Linked DNA regions of Oreochromis niloticus. The protein of the gene in region 2 interacts with the protein of the main gene of each other region in a biochemical or structural test. Links are inferred from orthologs where the notes say so. Each region holds a gene or a part of one and is shown on either strand. Other genes may lie near its edges.

Region 1 (8,116 bases), on a different chromosome or scaffold from region 2:
CCTTTTTAAGGAAACTGTGGGTTCCTGTCACGAATGGCTGAGGTAGTGTTACAAGTCTAGACCAAGATTACGAGGACAGGAGTGCTATTCAGATTGTGATAGAAATCTAATTAAATCAAATAATGTGTACAATCATCTTCTTTTCATCCAAGTAAAAACTGCTTGTTTTCTTGAGTCACTTTATTTTCCCTCATGTAGGAAATATTTTTTCCCCAGAGAAAGCAAACATTTTGTCACGATCTGCGGCCTGCAGATCATGTGAAACTGAATGAGGGCCCCAATGCAGGAGACACTGACAGGCAGGAACAAGTTAACATAAAGTGAGCTTTCTATTAAGACTGATCGAAAAGGTATAAAATAAGAGAAACCAAAATGGAACAAATTAAACTGGGAAATACGAGGAAACATGGAACCTGAACGACAGGAGGGTGGCTGAGGAAACACTCAGACTAGGGGGGAGACTGAGATAATATGTACACAAATGATGCAAATGATGCATGAAAATAATCTGGAGCTAATTTGCTTTCGTGTAGCAATTAAACTGATATTAAATATAGAGACACCAAAGGAGATGAACCAGTCAGTTTAATCTCGGAGCTTTTTTTTTTTTTTTTTTTTTTTTAAACGATGCAAACAACACAGACAATATTTTAGCTTTACCAAAGACGATGAGCTTAACATGCATATGTATTGATGGTAATTATATATTATTATTCTATTCAAAATGGACATGCAGTGTGTTCTTACCACCTGCTAACTTTAACACAGTTAATATTCTGACATCTCCAGTGAATCCTCGAGGTCACTGACTAGAATCCACTGCAGCTAAAGGAAACCAGTGTACCACTTACCACAACGCAAAAGCTGACCCAGGCAGAGAATCAAACTGGACCTCCAAACGGAGAGCAGGAAACAACTCATCATGAACCTTCAGCTTTCAGGCTCAGCACTTTACGTCCTCGGCATAGCCTCTGTGATCAAGCTCTTAGTCTGTGTGAAAATCTGCCTGTGTCTTTTCACACTTGTTAAAGTGGTTTATGTTTCCTGTCGGTGACCTAGAGCAAGAGGAAGTCTGAGATATTTCCTGCATACTCTACATTATTCATGACTTCTGTGTATGTGTACAGGTGGATTGGTGGAGATCAGTAACATCGCTCGTTTTTTTTCCATCCTCGATCGAAACATTGGATGGTTACACGCGTGGTTAGACAACCTTAAGCTGAGCGGGCTCATAAGTAGGGCACCAAACAGTTCATTATGTTCATTTCTATGTAGCGGTTTCAGTGGGAGAAACGTTTCGTCACTCACCCAAGTGACTTCTTCAGTCTCAACTTTTGCATAATGACTGAAACTTGGTGCTAGTTTCAGTCATTGTGCAGAGATGCTGTTTAAAAGGTTGGGGGGGAAACCTGCAGTCAGCTGCGACTGAGATGATACTTCCAGATGAACGGAATAAACTTTTTGGGAAAACATATGTAACTTTTCGATTATTCATCGACTTCCTTTAAAATATGGTTGCATAGCATGATCATATTGTTGCATAGGCAGCTTGTGAGATAACGTGGTTGCGGTCAAATTGTGTTGCGTAGAAATGGCCCTTTAACCATCCCCATCTGAGTTTGACCCAGTTTTTGCAAACAGTGATAATTTGAATGCATTTGTTTGAACGATCCTGTAGATTAATGACGCAATATTGCCATCTGGTGGAGACCAGAAAGACGTACAGTTCTACACAGTCAAATCAGCGTTTCAACATTTAGACTGTTTAAACATGGTGGAAAACGTTTGATATAATAGAGACAAGCTAAGAAAGAGAAGGGGTAAACATTTTATCGAGTTCATACAAACAAGAAAATTTAATGATGTATGCAGAAGAAATACAGGATTTAAGAAGCCCATAAGTGATATTTCAATCCAGAATGACTATTATGAATTCAAAAACAGTGGGGGAAAAATGATGCCATGATGTAGCTTATTAATAACTAATAAAGTCTCAGTATTTTGTTATAATCTACACTCATCCATCACTTTGTTAGGTGCATTACTGTGCATAAGTTTTAAAACACCCCTCATTTCTTTAACAACATCCCAAAGTGGCCAATATTATGCTGATGGTTGTTATGGTATATACTGGAAAATGACAGATAGGTGCAGCAAGGTATTCATATGCAAAGATAAATGGTAATATGGTATTTAAGGAGCTAGAAAATCCATATTTGGTATGATCATCTTCGACACTCTCTACAAGGCAAGTTGTCCTTGGGAATAGTTCTCCGGGCTTCTTATAGAACATTTAGTTCCCTTTTTGGGATGTCGGCTGCCTTTTTTCTCCATTCTGTATCAAGATGATCCCACACTGCTTTGGTAATGTACAGGTCTGGGCTTTGGGGAGGCCAGTCCATGACTTTTACTGCATTGACAGTGAACTTTTTGTTCATAATTCCATCAATTTTGACAAGATTCCCAACACCACTGGCTGAAATTCTGCCCCAAGCACTCCACAATGTTTTACAGATGTGTGTAATGACACATGTATAACACTTACTGCTGTACAGCTTTTAACCAAAAAGTTCAAATTTGGAGTCATCACTCTATATGACATGTTGCAACTGATTTTCAGTTCAGCAGTTCAGTTCTTGTGTAATTTGATATATCTCAGCCTTTTTTCCCCGTTTCCTTTCCTTGAGAATTGCTTCTTGACATCCACCCTTCAAAGATACCATTTCTGATGGTGCTTCAATGAACAGTAGATGGATCAGATGAAGGGCCAGATGCATTTTTCAGGTTTTGTGTCAGGTCCTTCAGGTCCTCACCCCTGGACTCTTTTCTTGTTAGGATATGATCTTCAAATAAGGTTCATTTGTGTCATAAGTTTTGGTCTTGTCCAGTTCTCCCTAAAAGTTTTAAAGACACACTACACAATATGGTGAGATATGGTATGTTTTGGGGGTATCTCTTTTAGAATCACTTTGTTGGTGCAAAAACAAAATTTTATGCCTGTTAAAAGATGTTGTCTTCAACTAAAACAAATGGGGACAAATAAAGCATTGCTGTGTAGACACAACACTGATTGAAGTTCCTTTTTTTAATGCTTCAGTGATTCATTGAAGTCAAGTGGCTCAACAAACTTGTCAGAATTGCTCTGAAAATGGTCAGATACAAAGACTGGACTAAAAATGAGTGGAAAAACATCAACATGTCAAAAAAAGGAGAAAAAAAACTTTTAAAGACCTGAAGAAGGACTATATAACTATTGCTTAAGAATACTTGAACAAACAAACAAACTATCAACAAACCAAACAAATCAGAATGAGAAATAATATGATTTGAGTAGCTTTGAACATGGCATGGGTTATAGTGTTTCAGAAACTGCTAATCTGTTGGGATTTTGTCACGAAACCATCTCTAGCATTTACAAAGAATGGTCAGAAAAAGAGAAGAGATCCAGTGAGACATCAATCATGCATTTTTTGTGTGCGAAAATGTCTTTTTTGATGGCAGAGGTCAGAGGAAAATGTCAGACCTGTTTTGAACTGACAGGAGCAATTCGTTACAACCAAAGTAAGCATAAGAGCAACTTGAACGCATAACATGTCAAACGTGTCAAGGTTGCACTTCTGTCAGTGAAGAACAGGAAACTGAGTCTACAGTTTACACAGACTGAAGATGGTGAAAAAATGTTGTCTGGTCTGATGAGTCTGCTGGTAGGGTTAGAATCTGGCATAAACAACATGAAAAGATGGGTCTATCCTACCTTGTATCAACGGTTTACACTGCTGGAGGTGCGATGATGCAGGAGAGATTTTCTTGGGACAGTTTGGCCCCTTTACTACCAAATGAACATCATTTAAATGTCGCAGCCTACCTGAGTATTGCTGCTGAACATGTCCATACCTTCATGACCACAATGTGACCATCTTGTGATAGCTGCTTCTAACATGATAGTGCCATCATGTCAGTATGGACCAAAATTTCTGATGAATGTTTCCAGCACCTTGTTGAATCTACAAGAAGAATCAAGGTAGTTATGAAGGCAGAAAGGAGGTCCAACCCAGAATGAGCAAAATGCATCTAATAGAGCTGCCAGTGAGTTTATCTTACTACTTTGCATTTGAATGACTGCACAATACTAAAATACATGTGATGTATATTGGAGGGCAGAGTGCTGCCTTTTTGTTGTCAATACTAATTAAGGACAAAAACAAAAAACAATGTGTTTTTTTTGTTTTGTTTTTCGGCTTTTTGCTGGGTTTACTTGGACACTTTTACCGTCTCCGGCTTCTAAATCTGGTAAAATGTCACAATCTAAGGCTCCTCTTCTGATGAATCACAAACTTGCACAACCACAGAGTTCTTAAGACGAGCATACGTCAAAATGGTCGTGAATGAATGCCTCTAGGGGTTTGAGGGACTTTCTCATGTATGGGAAGACAAGCACGTCATCTTTCATGTTTCCCACCGTGATACAACCTGCTGGTTTAGATAGAAAGGTAGCCCTCTAGTTAAACTTGGACTTACGGCGCCAGTGTGATGGCGCGATGCAAGAAAACTCAAGATGAGGAGTTCACAGGAGCGTTACGCTTATGTTTGAGATTAAATACTTTTATCCCAACTAGGTTAAGCTGCTGAGCAGACGTCTTTTTCTTTTTTCTTTTTTCTTTGCAGTCATCTTTTTCATCGAAGAGACCTCCCATCATTGTCTGTGATAAAAAAACAAAGAAAGGCAAAAAACTGTCTAGCTTAGAGAGAAATTTACTCAGCTGAAGACGAAGGGGAAGTGTTATGCATACGCATGTCCCTTACAGAACAGGAATAGGAAGTATGAAGAAGACAGGAAAAAACACAAATCCACTTCTCAAAGCAAAAGAACTGCTGCAAGCGTAAACCACAAATGCTTGTGCACTTTCTATGTAGGCTACGTGTGCAGGTGTTTCTGAAGGTGGCTGTATGCTGCTCTTCTGCAGAAAGGGAGTTTTGAAGCTCTGCTGGTGTGAAAGATGAGTGACTCACTGGAGAGGACTACAGACTGTCCTTTGCCGCTTCTCGCTGAGGAGTCCAGCGTGAACGAGGAGAAAGGGAATGTAACAGGACCAAGTGAGTTACGTTGGGAAGATGGAGGTCTGCCCATGGAGCTCCAGAAAGGGATGGAAACCCTACGAGTGAACAGAGAATTGACTGATGTGACACTGCGCGTTCAGGGTCATGACTTTGCTTGCCATAGAGCGATTCTGGCGGCTGCAAGTCACTACTTCAGGTAAATCATCATCTGGTCTTAAGTGTGTCGTGATCTCGGGCCTACTTGTTTTACTCACAAATTATGGCTGGTCTCTACAGGGCAATGTTTTGCAGCGGTCTCAAGGAGAGTCATGAGGAACGTGTGGAAATGAAAGGGTTGGACAGCGGGACAATGCACTGTCTCTTGGAGTATACCTACACCAGCCGAGCTCTCCTCACACACTCGAATGTCCAGAGAATACTCGAGGCTGCCAGTCAGTTTCAGGTAAAGCAGCTTAACTGATCTTTGTTGCTCAATCAGGGGTTTTTTTTGCAAAATCATTGTATGCAACATGTTGTTGTTGGTTTTTTTTTTTGCCAGGTCATTGACACTTTTTAACACCAAATGTAAAGATGTAGTGAAATCAAACAGCAGAGGCAAAAAAGTTCTACAAATCTTTGAGGTGTGAATTTAGACTTTAAAGACCAAGTGAATCATTTTTTACAAAGAAATTTGACCTTAACATGTTTTTCACATAAAGGCAGCACAGCTTGAATTTAAGTCCATAAAATAAATCAACCATAAAGTTTATAATTAATCTGACTGAAAGTTTGTTTCATTTGAGTTTAACTTGAAAAAGGTTTTTGGCAGCATATGATCTCTTTCACCTAATTTTTAAACCATCAACACCGTCGGTTTATACGATCTTTTTTATATCTGTTACATTTTAACCACCTGCATGTAAAGTCAGTTGGAACAAATAGGCCATCAAAGGAATGGTGACGCCTCGTGCTGAATTAGCAGCAGAAAGCAAACCACTTATTTCTAATTGGGATGATGGATTTGGTGTTGTGATGTGGAACTGTAATTAAATTTTTGAAACTGCTATCAGGTTCTTACTTCAGTTTTTTCCTCGCATAAAGGGAACAAACATGTGATTGGATGAGAAATTGGTTTTGCTAAGAGGGAAGTGAAAGTTGGTCAGTTGTTTACACTCAGGATCATTTTTCCATAAGGGCTTAAATTAACTACACAGCTGTGCCACACTGCACAGGAGGCAGGTGTTTGTGTTTGTGTGCTTCTATTTTTGCAAAAACACTTCGGGTGTTAAATTTTGATGATAATTACTTAAGGCACTCTTGCTGGATTTTCAGTGTAACTAAGAAGCAAGGTTAAGATCACATTAAGAGTTAGGGCTAAGATTATCATATGAGGCTAAATTTTATTTTATTTTATATCTTTAAAAAAGCTAATCAGGTATCTCATTTTATACTGGCTTTGTGAGAGAGCTTTGTAAATGCTTTTGCTGCAAGTAATAGATAAAAATATCCACAGTGATTCTGTTGAAATTCAAACGCAGGTTTTCAAAAGCTTATATAAATTCAGGCTAAGGCAGTTAGATAAGCAAAGTGGGTTCCGGGGAAAACTGTGGGCCTCTTTAGTCCAAAATTCTATTATTGTCCACTGATGGATTGTTTTCTTGCTGCAAATAAGAAAACAGTTGTTTGGTCTGATGCTCACAGACGTCTGAGGACTCACTGCATACAAATTATTGACTGTGTTATACTTTAGAAGGCATTTTTTTGCAGAAAAAGTCCCCTATCGCTTGCAATGGAAGTGCACTGGGACAGAATTGATTTACAGCCAGTTTACCAACAAGCAAATTCTAAGCCCTTAAAATTCAACTATAGCCATAATTGCCAATTTGGAGCAGCTTAATCAGCTACAAATAGCTTTAACCCATGCCTTTATTCTTTTTGTCTCTTTAGTTCCTGCGTGTGGTAGATGCGTGCTCTAGCTTTCTCAGCAAGTCTATGCAGCTAGACACCTGTATTGGCATCCTAAATCTGGCTGACAGACATGCCCTGTCAGCCCTGCGCTCCAGAGCTCAGGACTATATTACTACTCAATTCTCTCAAGTGGTCCAGCAGCAGGACTTCCTGGAGCTGCCAATGGAATCTCTGGAGACTGTCCTGCAGAGGGATGACCTGGATGTGAAGTGTGAGGAGTGTGTTTTTGAAGCACTCATGCACTGGGTGAGAGCCCGGCAGGATGAACGCTATCCCTTACTGGCCAGGTTGCTTACGCACGTACGATTGCCGCTGCTGGAGCCGGCATACTTTGTTGAGAAAGTGGAGTCAGATGAGCTGATACGACGGTGCAGCGAGGCTTTTCCTTTGTTGCAAGAGGCCCGCATTTATCATCTCTCTGGCAGGGAGGTCAGTATAAACCGCTGGGCATATTGTGTTTATTGTTGTTAATAATTGTTTGTCTCATGTCCAAGTTTCATATATGTTTGACCTTTTTTGCAGGTGGTCTCAGAACGAACCAAACCACGTGTGCAGCACTTTCTGTCAGAAGTATTCTTGATCATTGGAGGCTGCACCAAAGACGAACGCTTCATTTCCACTGTCACATGTTTGGACCCTCTCAGACGCAGCCGACTGGAGGTCGCCAGGATGCCATTGACAGAATTAGAGGATGAGTCCCAAAATAGAAAATGGGTGGAATTTGCTTGTATCACTTTCCACAATGAAGTATACATATCTGGTGAGTGAACATATTCTTTTTTCATAGAAAGGCTTCACTTGTGAAATTGTTCTGATGATTGCTCCTTGTTGTTATTACCCGTGAAGTGTGCACTTCACTGGTATTCAAATGTAATGAGAATTTAGGAATTTATAGTATGAACAAAACAAAACAACAGGAAGTCGTGACATTATTTCTGCACTAACAGTTGCTGTGGTTTTAGGTGTTTCCCAACGCAGGAACTGACAGTTCTAGTTAAGTGGAACACGCAGACTGTAAATGCTATGACTAGCACGCAGGATTTCTACATCTTTAAACAGCATGATAACTTAGTGCAGAGTCCCAACACAGTTATTACTAAAGACGGGTCAT
Region 2 (8,947 bases):
CTAACTGCTTGCTGTCCAAATCATTCATAAATTGAAAACATTTGTTGCATCACGAAACAAAAAATATGACAAAGAAGGCCCAGGACTGTCAAATAGCTAGAAGCCAGTTAGACAACAATGGGGCAGCATCTCTCTCCTAAAAGTTAATCAACTGGTTTCCTCAGTTCCCAAATGTTTATGGGCTGTTTTTAAAAAGAAGAAGGGGCTCTACACAGCAGTAAATATGACCCTCACTGTTTTGAGATGTGTCACTGCCATCAAATTCAAAATGTCCTTGCCTCTTAAAATGGCCCATTTTCTCAGTTTAAACATTATGATATGATATGTTTTCTGTATTATATTGTGAATAAAATATGGGTTTATGGAAAATGCGAATCATTGCATTCTGCTTTTTATTGCAACAAAATTATTCGATTGCAACAAACTGAAGAGCAAACTTGGAGCAAATAAAAGTCTTTACTGTTCTGAAAAACATGAGTAGAGTGAGCTCACAGAAAAGCAACTGCTTCACCATTTGACCCTCTAGAAATTGTGTACAGCTCACTGAGCATGACTCGGCAAGTGGGTTCTCCCGGTTGGCAGAGAGGGTTTCCATGCTCTCTCACTCCATCTCTTCCCTACACATGTCTGCTTTTATCCCTCAGCTATCCTTTTGGCCCAGAAATGTCATTGTCACTCATCTTGCTGAATGGAACACTAGCCAGTGGGCGCCTGAAATGCCACCGGCTCTGTGTGCAGACAAACAGTGAATGCATGGCTTTGGTGTAAATATTCAGTTTAGAAATTCATGCAAATGCGCGTTTGTGTGTGACCAAGGAAGAATGTACATAAATATAGCTGAAGATAAAATTAAGCAAGCATGGATCTACCTACTTGAACTTGCATAAAGTAGCTTAGTCAGAAAAAACATCAACATAAAGAAGTGATCTTGTGAGTTATAGTTGAAAAACAGAAAGCAAACATAAGGAAAACATCTTAAAGTCACTGAGAAGGGATCGAAATTCTCTTCAACAGCGACCAGTGTTGCCTCCATGAACTAGGTCAGAATACATACACGCACATGTGTTTGCACACACCACTGCACACATAAACAAAATCCATGTATGTAAGGTTTTTAGCACGTCCATTATGGATGAGATGCTAAGAGAGAAACAGCAGGGAGGATGAAGGCAACGAGGAAGATGGAAGAGTAGTGGTAGAGATATTGATGGAGAGTAATTATATTAAGGAAAAGTAGCTTCTTTGGTCTTATAATTAAAATTATACAGCATCCATATACACATACCCAAGACTGTCTCAGGAAAAGATGGTTTTCATATTCCTGTGCCCACATTATGACCAGATGTCAAGTTAAGCCACAAGGAAAGAGCAATAAAAAGCATCGAGGAAGCATCTAGCACTTTAGAATGACAATGGCAATGTTTACCATGTTAACTGTTTCAGCAGTTACTTACATACTTAGAAAATCTGTTGCAGACAACAGAAAAATATGAATTCTGGATATAATTCATCATCTGGGGATGATTTGGATATTTGTACCACGAAGAATTGGATGCAGATTCAACAGATGTCAAAACATTTCACAGCAAACTCAAAAATGTAAAACTCATGGAAACTCTAAAGGAAAAGCCAGAGGATCATGGAAACTGGATCTGGATTCCGTGTCCTGGAGACAATAAATGTTTGTTTATGTATTTGTTTATGGACCATCCCTAGAGTTAATAGGGTTGATTTTTGAATAGGCAAATATTATGAAACAAAACCCAGTGTTGGTTATTAACATGTAAAACACTAAAAGAGATGTGTGTATAGGGTTTATATCATACATATGTAGTATGTTGATGCAGTGATTGAAATTGTCAGGACAGTAGCCAAGAAAGTAGAGAAAGAGCAAGGGGGACTGACATGCAGAAAATAGTTGAACCCAGTGGCCTTTCAGCAGTGGGTCACCTGCCTAGTCAAGTAAGCTACTGTGTAGCAGCACCATGTGAATGGTGTACTTTGCACAAAAATACACCTTTAACAAAACTTTACCCTTTTTTAAAAGCTTCATATAAGTTTGAACAAACTTATATGAAGCTTTGTTTTCATGTAGTACTGAATAAGGTGGCATTGTGCTGTGACAGAGCTGGGGAGAAAGAGCCAAGAGGAAGAGATGGAATATTCACTGTATTCTGAGGTAGGATTATGGCTAAGTGCATTTGATTACGGCTTTATCAAAACTGACCTCACTGTGAACACAGTTTCATTACAGAGGAGCTGTTTTGTGTGTGTCAACAGAAAACTGGGAGAAATAAGTAAATATTGCTTTCATCAGACTTGGACTCGCCTCTGTGCTGCTCGGAGAGGAATGTGATATCGCATTTGTTATTTTACTGCAGAGACCAGCGAAGCGCATGCTGCTAGTTTTAATCATATTTGTCTGACAGACTCTAGTTTGTTCATGTAAACTATGTGTCTTTCTCACACATAAAAGTCTGTCATGCTTTGACTGACAGCTTTTAAGTTGTACTCGCTTCCCTTAAGTAATATTATTAAAGAACACTGCATACATTTTCATTTCTATGTCAGTGACACCAAACTTTATTTATACAATTGTGCCTTCTGTGGCTTCAAATGACGCAATTCAAATACATTTGTAGCTATAAAAGCTTTGATGTGAAATTTTGTACTTCTAATTTCAGTTTTGAACCTAAATCTCAAAAATATTTTGTATTATAAGATACTTATTCTTGCCTCCAGCAACACTGTGAGGAATTTTTGACCAAGATATGTCCTTTAACTCATCCATTACACAAATATTCAGGTACCTTCCTTCATCTGCGCAATATCACTAAAATTATAACCATCCTGTTTGTGATGCTGGAAAACTGGTCCATGCATTTGTTACCTCTGCTGGACTACTGTAAGTTATTATCAGGCTGTTTTGAAAGCTTTCTAAAAAGCCTTCAGTTGATCCAAAATGCCACAGTGAGATTACTAACAGAGACTTGTGAGAGAGATCATATTTCTTCTTTATTAGGTTATCTTTATTGGCTCCCTGTTAAATTCAGAATTGAATTAGAAAAGAAACCTTCTCACAAACAAAGTCTTGAGTGAAATCCTAGTAACATATTATCCCAACAGAGCTCTTCACTCTCATACTACAGACTTACTTGTGGTTCCTAAAGTTTCTAAATGCAGAATGAGAAGCAGAGCCTTCAGCTATCACCCTGTACTATGAAACCAGCTCCCCCTTGGGTTCAGGACACAGACATACTCTCTACTTTTAAAACTTTCCTTTTTGATAAATTGTGTAGTTATGATTGGATCAGGTGACACAGATGCCATTATTACATATTATGAATGGTTGTCTTCTTTATTGTTGCTCTGTGGTTACCCCTACAAAAGTCTGATTCCGCCTGCAGTGGCCTCCTGTTGAAAGGGAGTTCTTCCTCCACACTGCCCCCAAGTGGTTGCTCACAGGGGTTTTTCTCTAATTCTGTAGGATCCTTACCTTACAGTATGATGAACTCTGAGATGGCCTTTTCTCTGAACTGGTGCTATACAAATAAGGTTAATTGGCAACAAGTCAGTAACATGACCGAAGGGTGGCTGGCCCTTCTCTTAGAAATAGCATGAGGAGTTGAGTCATTAGCAAAGGGCAAAAAGTAGACCCCTTCTCCTTTACATTGAAGGGCCACTTGAGATGGTTTAGGCATCTGACTACGATGCCCCCTGGGCACCTCCTGGGTGAGGTGTTGCAGACATGTCCCACTGTGTGGAAGCCCCATGGCAGACCCATGACATGCTGGAGAGATTACATCTCTCAACTGGCCTGGAGACACACTCAATGTTCCCCCCTGATAGTCCACAGGTGGATGGATATAAAGCTATTTTTTATTTTACCTTTCATTTTCTGAAGCCTTTGTGGTCATACAAAGTCCTGCAAATCTCAAAATAAAAAAAAACAGCTGAATTTTATCTTCTTATAGTTGAAAGAACCCTAATTCAGACTTAAACTGGAGAATACATTCAAAACTATCATGTTACTATTATCCTGAAAACTGTGGCAGTTTAGTACTGTTTGTTTTATTACGGTTCAAATTGAATGCAAGGTGTTAAACATTATGTTGTACCTTTACTTTGGTTTATATAAAAATAATATTGTTCAAGGTAGAGTTTTGCAGGTCCAAAGAAGTCTTTGAGGAAACATCCTTAGCCTCAGTGCACCACTTATATTGTTAGACATCAAACATGTAACACATGCTGGAAAGATTTTTGCTTTTCATAACGGCGTGATTGTAATATTTACTGTAAAAGGTTTCAGCTTACAGAAATTCGTACATCAAGGGCTTTTGGGGCACAAGAAGAAAATTTGATTCTATATGTAAGATAACATGTTTACAGCTCAAAATGTGTTTTGGAACAGATTTAGCCTTCCAGTATGAATCATAATGAGTAGGCTCACGTCTCCTGCAGTGAACAGCAGCTCACTGAGGGAAAAGCCTGAGTTATTACAAAAGTGTGATTCAGATATAAAAAATGACAATAATGTGAAAGCGTGCAAATTTCGACTAAAAATCAAGGCTAAACTCATTGAAGATCAGGATTACAGTCATAATGACTTTAGTCACTAATAACCTGTTTTACTGGTCACTAAAGTCCGTAAATGCGCTCACACATGCCTGCTACTTCGTAAACAGCAAAATTATAAAATGAATGTAAAATGAATGGATCATTAAATATATACGTAATATATATAATAATATATAAATGTATTCACCTAGACCTACTCCAGATATTATCCAAATGTCTAAGAGAAGCTTTTCAGCATTGTTAAACACGGCTGTGGGCTTGAAAGCATTTCATACAGTGGTAAAGGCAATTAAGTTTAAGCACGCATTTTTCCGCTACTCCACAGCTTCGAACATGGTTGCAACAGCAAGCGGGAACTGCTTGTGTTTTCGTGTGTGAACTTCCTCTTCGCAGACGCACTTGTCGATGCGCATCCTCTACCCTGCTACTCGGTCTGTTCCTTTAAAAGCTCACAGCCCACGCCTCGAAAAGCGGCTTGTTCCGGCTTGCCCCTTTACATCTTTTTATCCTTGCTCACAACATTAAACTAGTGCCATCCTCATCACATCGCTCCCCTGACCCTTACGCACCAGCCTTTGAAGCCGAACCGCGGTGCAGTTAGTAAATCGTATCTGGGGAGGAGCGTGGCCCTGTCTGTCCGTGCAGCTCGGTGCTGAGTCCGATGATGAGGGCCAGTTCGGGAACCATCAGTGGCGGAGCAATACCACCATCTCCTAGTTTCAGCTTCGGTTTGTCAAGCAGAGGGCGTGTGGCTCACCGTACCTGAGAGGAGCGAGCGTCTCTTGTCACGTATTCTGCGAAAGGGGGGCAGAGGATTAAAAGCGGACCAAGGCACCTGTCTCTACTGCTCTGGGATGCCGTGCCGTGTCAGTGTCGCATTAAAAATAATGTTTCCCCTGTGCTTGTTTTGCAACTGATGAAGAATAATTTTGAAGGCATGTTCACGTGGATGGCTATGAATATGTTTATTCCGGTGTTCTGGTGTAACGCGTGAGGTAAGTGACTTATCCAGAGGTGCGCGCTACTTTCTCCCGCTGCTCAGTTTTTCTGCAATGCCTTTGACATCTCGGGGTTGTTTACATGTTTTTGTTTAGCTTTTTTATTCCCCATTCGTTTGCAAATAAGAGCTTGTATCGTGGCTCATGATCTAAAAAAAACCAAACAAACAATGTCTATAGTAACCATCATGCTCCTAGCGCATTAATTTCTGGAATTGGCACTGGTGTTATATTAAAAGAAGGTGGGCTGTAGTTGAAATGAAGTGACAGCACTTAAGTGAGCTGGGAATACAAACGAGGGGCTTTTCTGGAAAGAGTTGAGGCACTCAGTGGCAATATGTGAAGCGATATGAAAGTAGATGTGCTGCTGTAATGGTGGAGACTGCTTAATGTTGGCTCTAGTGCGCGGAGATCGCTTCCAAGCCAATGTGAAATTTATGGAGTAACATCGCTGTTGCTGAGAGAGTGACTTCTTGAGCCGTAGCAGAGCAGCTTCCAAGTTCAGGTGTTGCATATTATTTACCGCCGCTGTCATCGTAAAGTTTAAGCATGCAGCATGGCCGCCCTGCAGGGAAGGTTACTGTATAACCTGCTGATTTGCAACTGGAAGCAACCTCGTGTTCTAACATTATTAACCAAAGGTGCAGCAGCCCTCCCTCCACTTTGCTGCAGACACAAATCACAGGCCAAGTGAAAAAGACTATGGTGCAGTGTGTATATATGCTGTATAAAACAACCAGCAGCAGCTTTGTGAGATGTATGAGTGCCCTGCCTCCCATGCAGACACTACCCCCACACACTGTGATGACAGACGTAATGAATAAATAATCACACAAGCCCACATACCCCTACAGTACACTGAAAAAACAAGTGACATGACATGGTGAAACAAGTGATATGAAATGTAATAAACTCACGACAGGGTTATTTTGGCAGTGTTATGGCCAAGAGTTGCGAAGCTATGACAAGATTTAAAACGAGATGTGTGGTAATTCCAGTGTATTGGTGCGACTTTATGTTATGGTTTTATATCGCAACCTCGAAGTGCATCAGCGTCCTGTGCTCCCTGCGCAGCAGATTGGATTTTCTGTGCCCTTTGAGAGTCTTGCAAACAATTACCTGGCGCCATCATTTCTCAGTGTTAAAGTCTAACTTTCCCTTCATCCTTTATCTGCTGCTGACTGTCATTTGCATTTATTGTTTCCACTTTACAGCACAGAGGTGCTGCTACCTACTCAAATAGAAAGTTTTCATTCATATAAAAACTGTCACTGTGAAGTGAGGTTTTCCGATTTGCGATTTTGAAGTATCCATTAAACTTTAAAATGTAAACACTGAGAGATGTTATTAAAATGTTATTGGCAGCAGTGTGGTGGGCGTAAAGTTTCAGCCTTGTTGTGCTTCGATGTTCCCACGAGGCTATGGAAACGAGTGGATGGTAAAATTATGGCTGTGATATTTGTGAGGTTGAATTTAACAGGTCATTGGCACATTGGCGAAAAGTGTTAAAAGTCACGAGTATTTAGAAATATTTCAGCCTTTTTTCATATACTGTGTGGACATATTTCAGAGGCATTAAATATGAATAAACTAGAGCTGTGATGTGTTCATTACTGTGTTCATTGCTTTGTAGTGATGTTTTTCTTGAGTGTTGAGGTCTATATCTGCTTATCTAGCACTAATGTGGTAAAAGCATGTGGGTTATGTGCATATTGCTGCACCTATTATAGACTCACAGTATCTGGAATGCTCTTGAGAAGGGGCTAGCGGACCTCAAATTACTCTAAATTCCTCTGGTTTAGGTTCAACTCAGCCTCTAAAGCTTTGTGAGTAATGTTTGCTTGCCCATGAATCCTTAAGGATCCCATTCAGTGTATCTATGTTAGTACATGTGTAATAAAAATGGTCTTAGAGTAACAGGAGCATGAGTCCAAGAAAGAATAAATGCCTTTATCAGCCACATACAGTATAGACCTCTTATGGTGTCAAGCCACGGACCTCTCACTTGTAGTTTTGTTTTTTGGGTTTTTTTTATTTTACCTTGATTTTATAGTTTAGAATAGACGTGGGACAAAATACTGATATAGCAATATGTATCGTACCACTTACTCTTGCCAGATACTCTACTGATATTTAAAACATGTGGGATTAAAACGTGATTTCCTGCCAAGTAAATTACGTTTCGGTGGAAAAAGTAGGGGAACCCAACAACTCCCCCACCCACCCAACTCCACTTTATTGTAAAACTCTTGAAAGCATTAATATGTTTTGCGAGAATGTCCTTGGCCTTCATAAGCAGCATTAACTAAGCATGTTTTTCAATGGCAGGAGGAACCGGAGGTCCCAGAGGAAACCGTGTACAGAGAAAACATGCAAACTCCACACAAAAAAAAGGCGTTGGGTTTTGAACCTGTGACCTTGAGCGACTGTGGTGCCTTATTCAGTAGCAGTCATAATACACACTGACACTAACACCACAGCACAGCGTATCAATACATAATTAGTGCTTTGTGCCTCTTCTGTGTTTTTTTCTTCTTTTCTGTTTACACAGATGTTGTGATGAATCACAGGGGGGGTCTTGTCATGCTGGTATTGTATTGTGAAGCCTCGATACAGGAAATGTGGATTGACAATAAAAGGGAATGTCAGGCATCCAAATACATTACGTCAGAATTTGGCTTAGAGACAGTACAGTTATCTGTGTGTCTGAACATCTTGGACTGCAAAGCCACAAGGAGGCCCTAAACTTGTAGCTGTCACAGCCAATTTAAGATTGCATTTTCTAAGCACTACATAACTGCTTTCCTATTTCACTTTTACTGTGCGATGTTGGCCTTAAAATTGTTTAGAAATACTAATATAAATATTCATACACAGAAGTGTATGAAGAAGTAGTGCTGCCCCTGAAGGGTCTCTCTGCAGATACTGGGGGTGGAATAGAGGTAACTGTGCCACATCGCTCCGCTGGGCCGACAGAAATACTTAAGCGGGAGTCAGAGTTAAAACATCATGACCCAACACATTCAGGAATCGCTGGCGGCAACAGACGCACACGTAAGGTGTAAGGCCCGCATATCAAAATTCGCCCATCCATTGTTACTACATGCCCGTTAGCTCTCACTCCAGCTATGACCTAATCCTGGTAGCTAGTGGGTGTGTTCTGCTTGGACTGAAGTCTCATTGGCTGTCTGCTGCATGCTCCTTACTTCCGCTATTCCTTTCAAATGTGCTGCCATTTTCAGTAGCAGAACTTAGGTTTCAGTTTGTAGCGAAAACCTGTAACTGTAACAAGGACTTGAGCTTTTGTGCCACTGTATGCTAGGCTTCAGAAATATGTATTTTTCACAGTACTGTAGTTATGTGGCATGAAA

Evidence for each region.
Region 1: the proteins of rc3h2 (region 2) and klhl6 form a complex in vitro, tested with the Homo sapiens proteins (2 studies listed by BioGRID, with this or other methods). The link is inferred for Oreochromis niloticus from reciprocal best matches to the Homo sapiens genes RC3H2 and KLHL6.

Annotation. Positions count from the first base shown.
Region 1 is NC_031987.2:18,377,283-18,385,398, reverse strand, and holds the start of klhl6 (kelch-like protein 6), read left to right. Parts: upstream 1-4,510; 5' UTR 4,511-4,997; coding exon 4,998-5,254; intron 5,255-5,334; coding exon 5,335-5,500; intron 5,501-6,984; coding exon 6,985-7,434; intron 7,435-7,527; coding exon 7,528-7,765; intron 7,766-8,116. Other genes in the region: immunoglobulin superfamily member 3, read right to left, coding at 852-924. UniProt on the Homo sapiens protein: Involved in B-lymphocyte antigen receptor signaling and germinal center formation.
Region 2 is NC_031972.2:25,738,242-25,747,188, reverse strand, and holds the start of rc3h2 (roquin-2), read left to right. Parts: upstream 1-5,077; 5' UTR 5,078-5,573; intron 5,574-8,947. UniProt on the Homo sapiens protein: Post-transcriptional repressor of mRNAs containing a conserved stem loop motif, called constitutive decay element (CDE), which is often located in the 3'-UTR, as in HMGXB3, ICOS, IER3, NFKBID, NFKBIZ, PPP1R10, TNF and in many more mRNAs.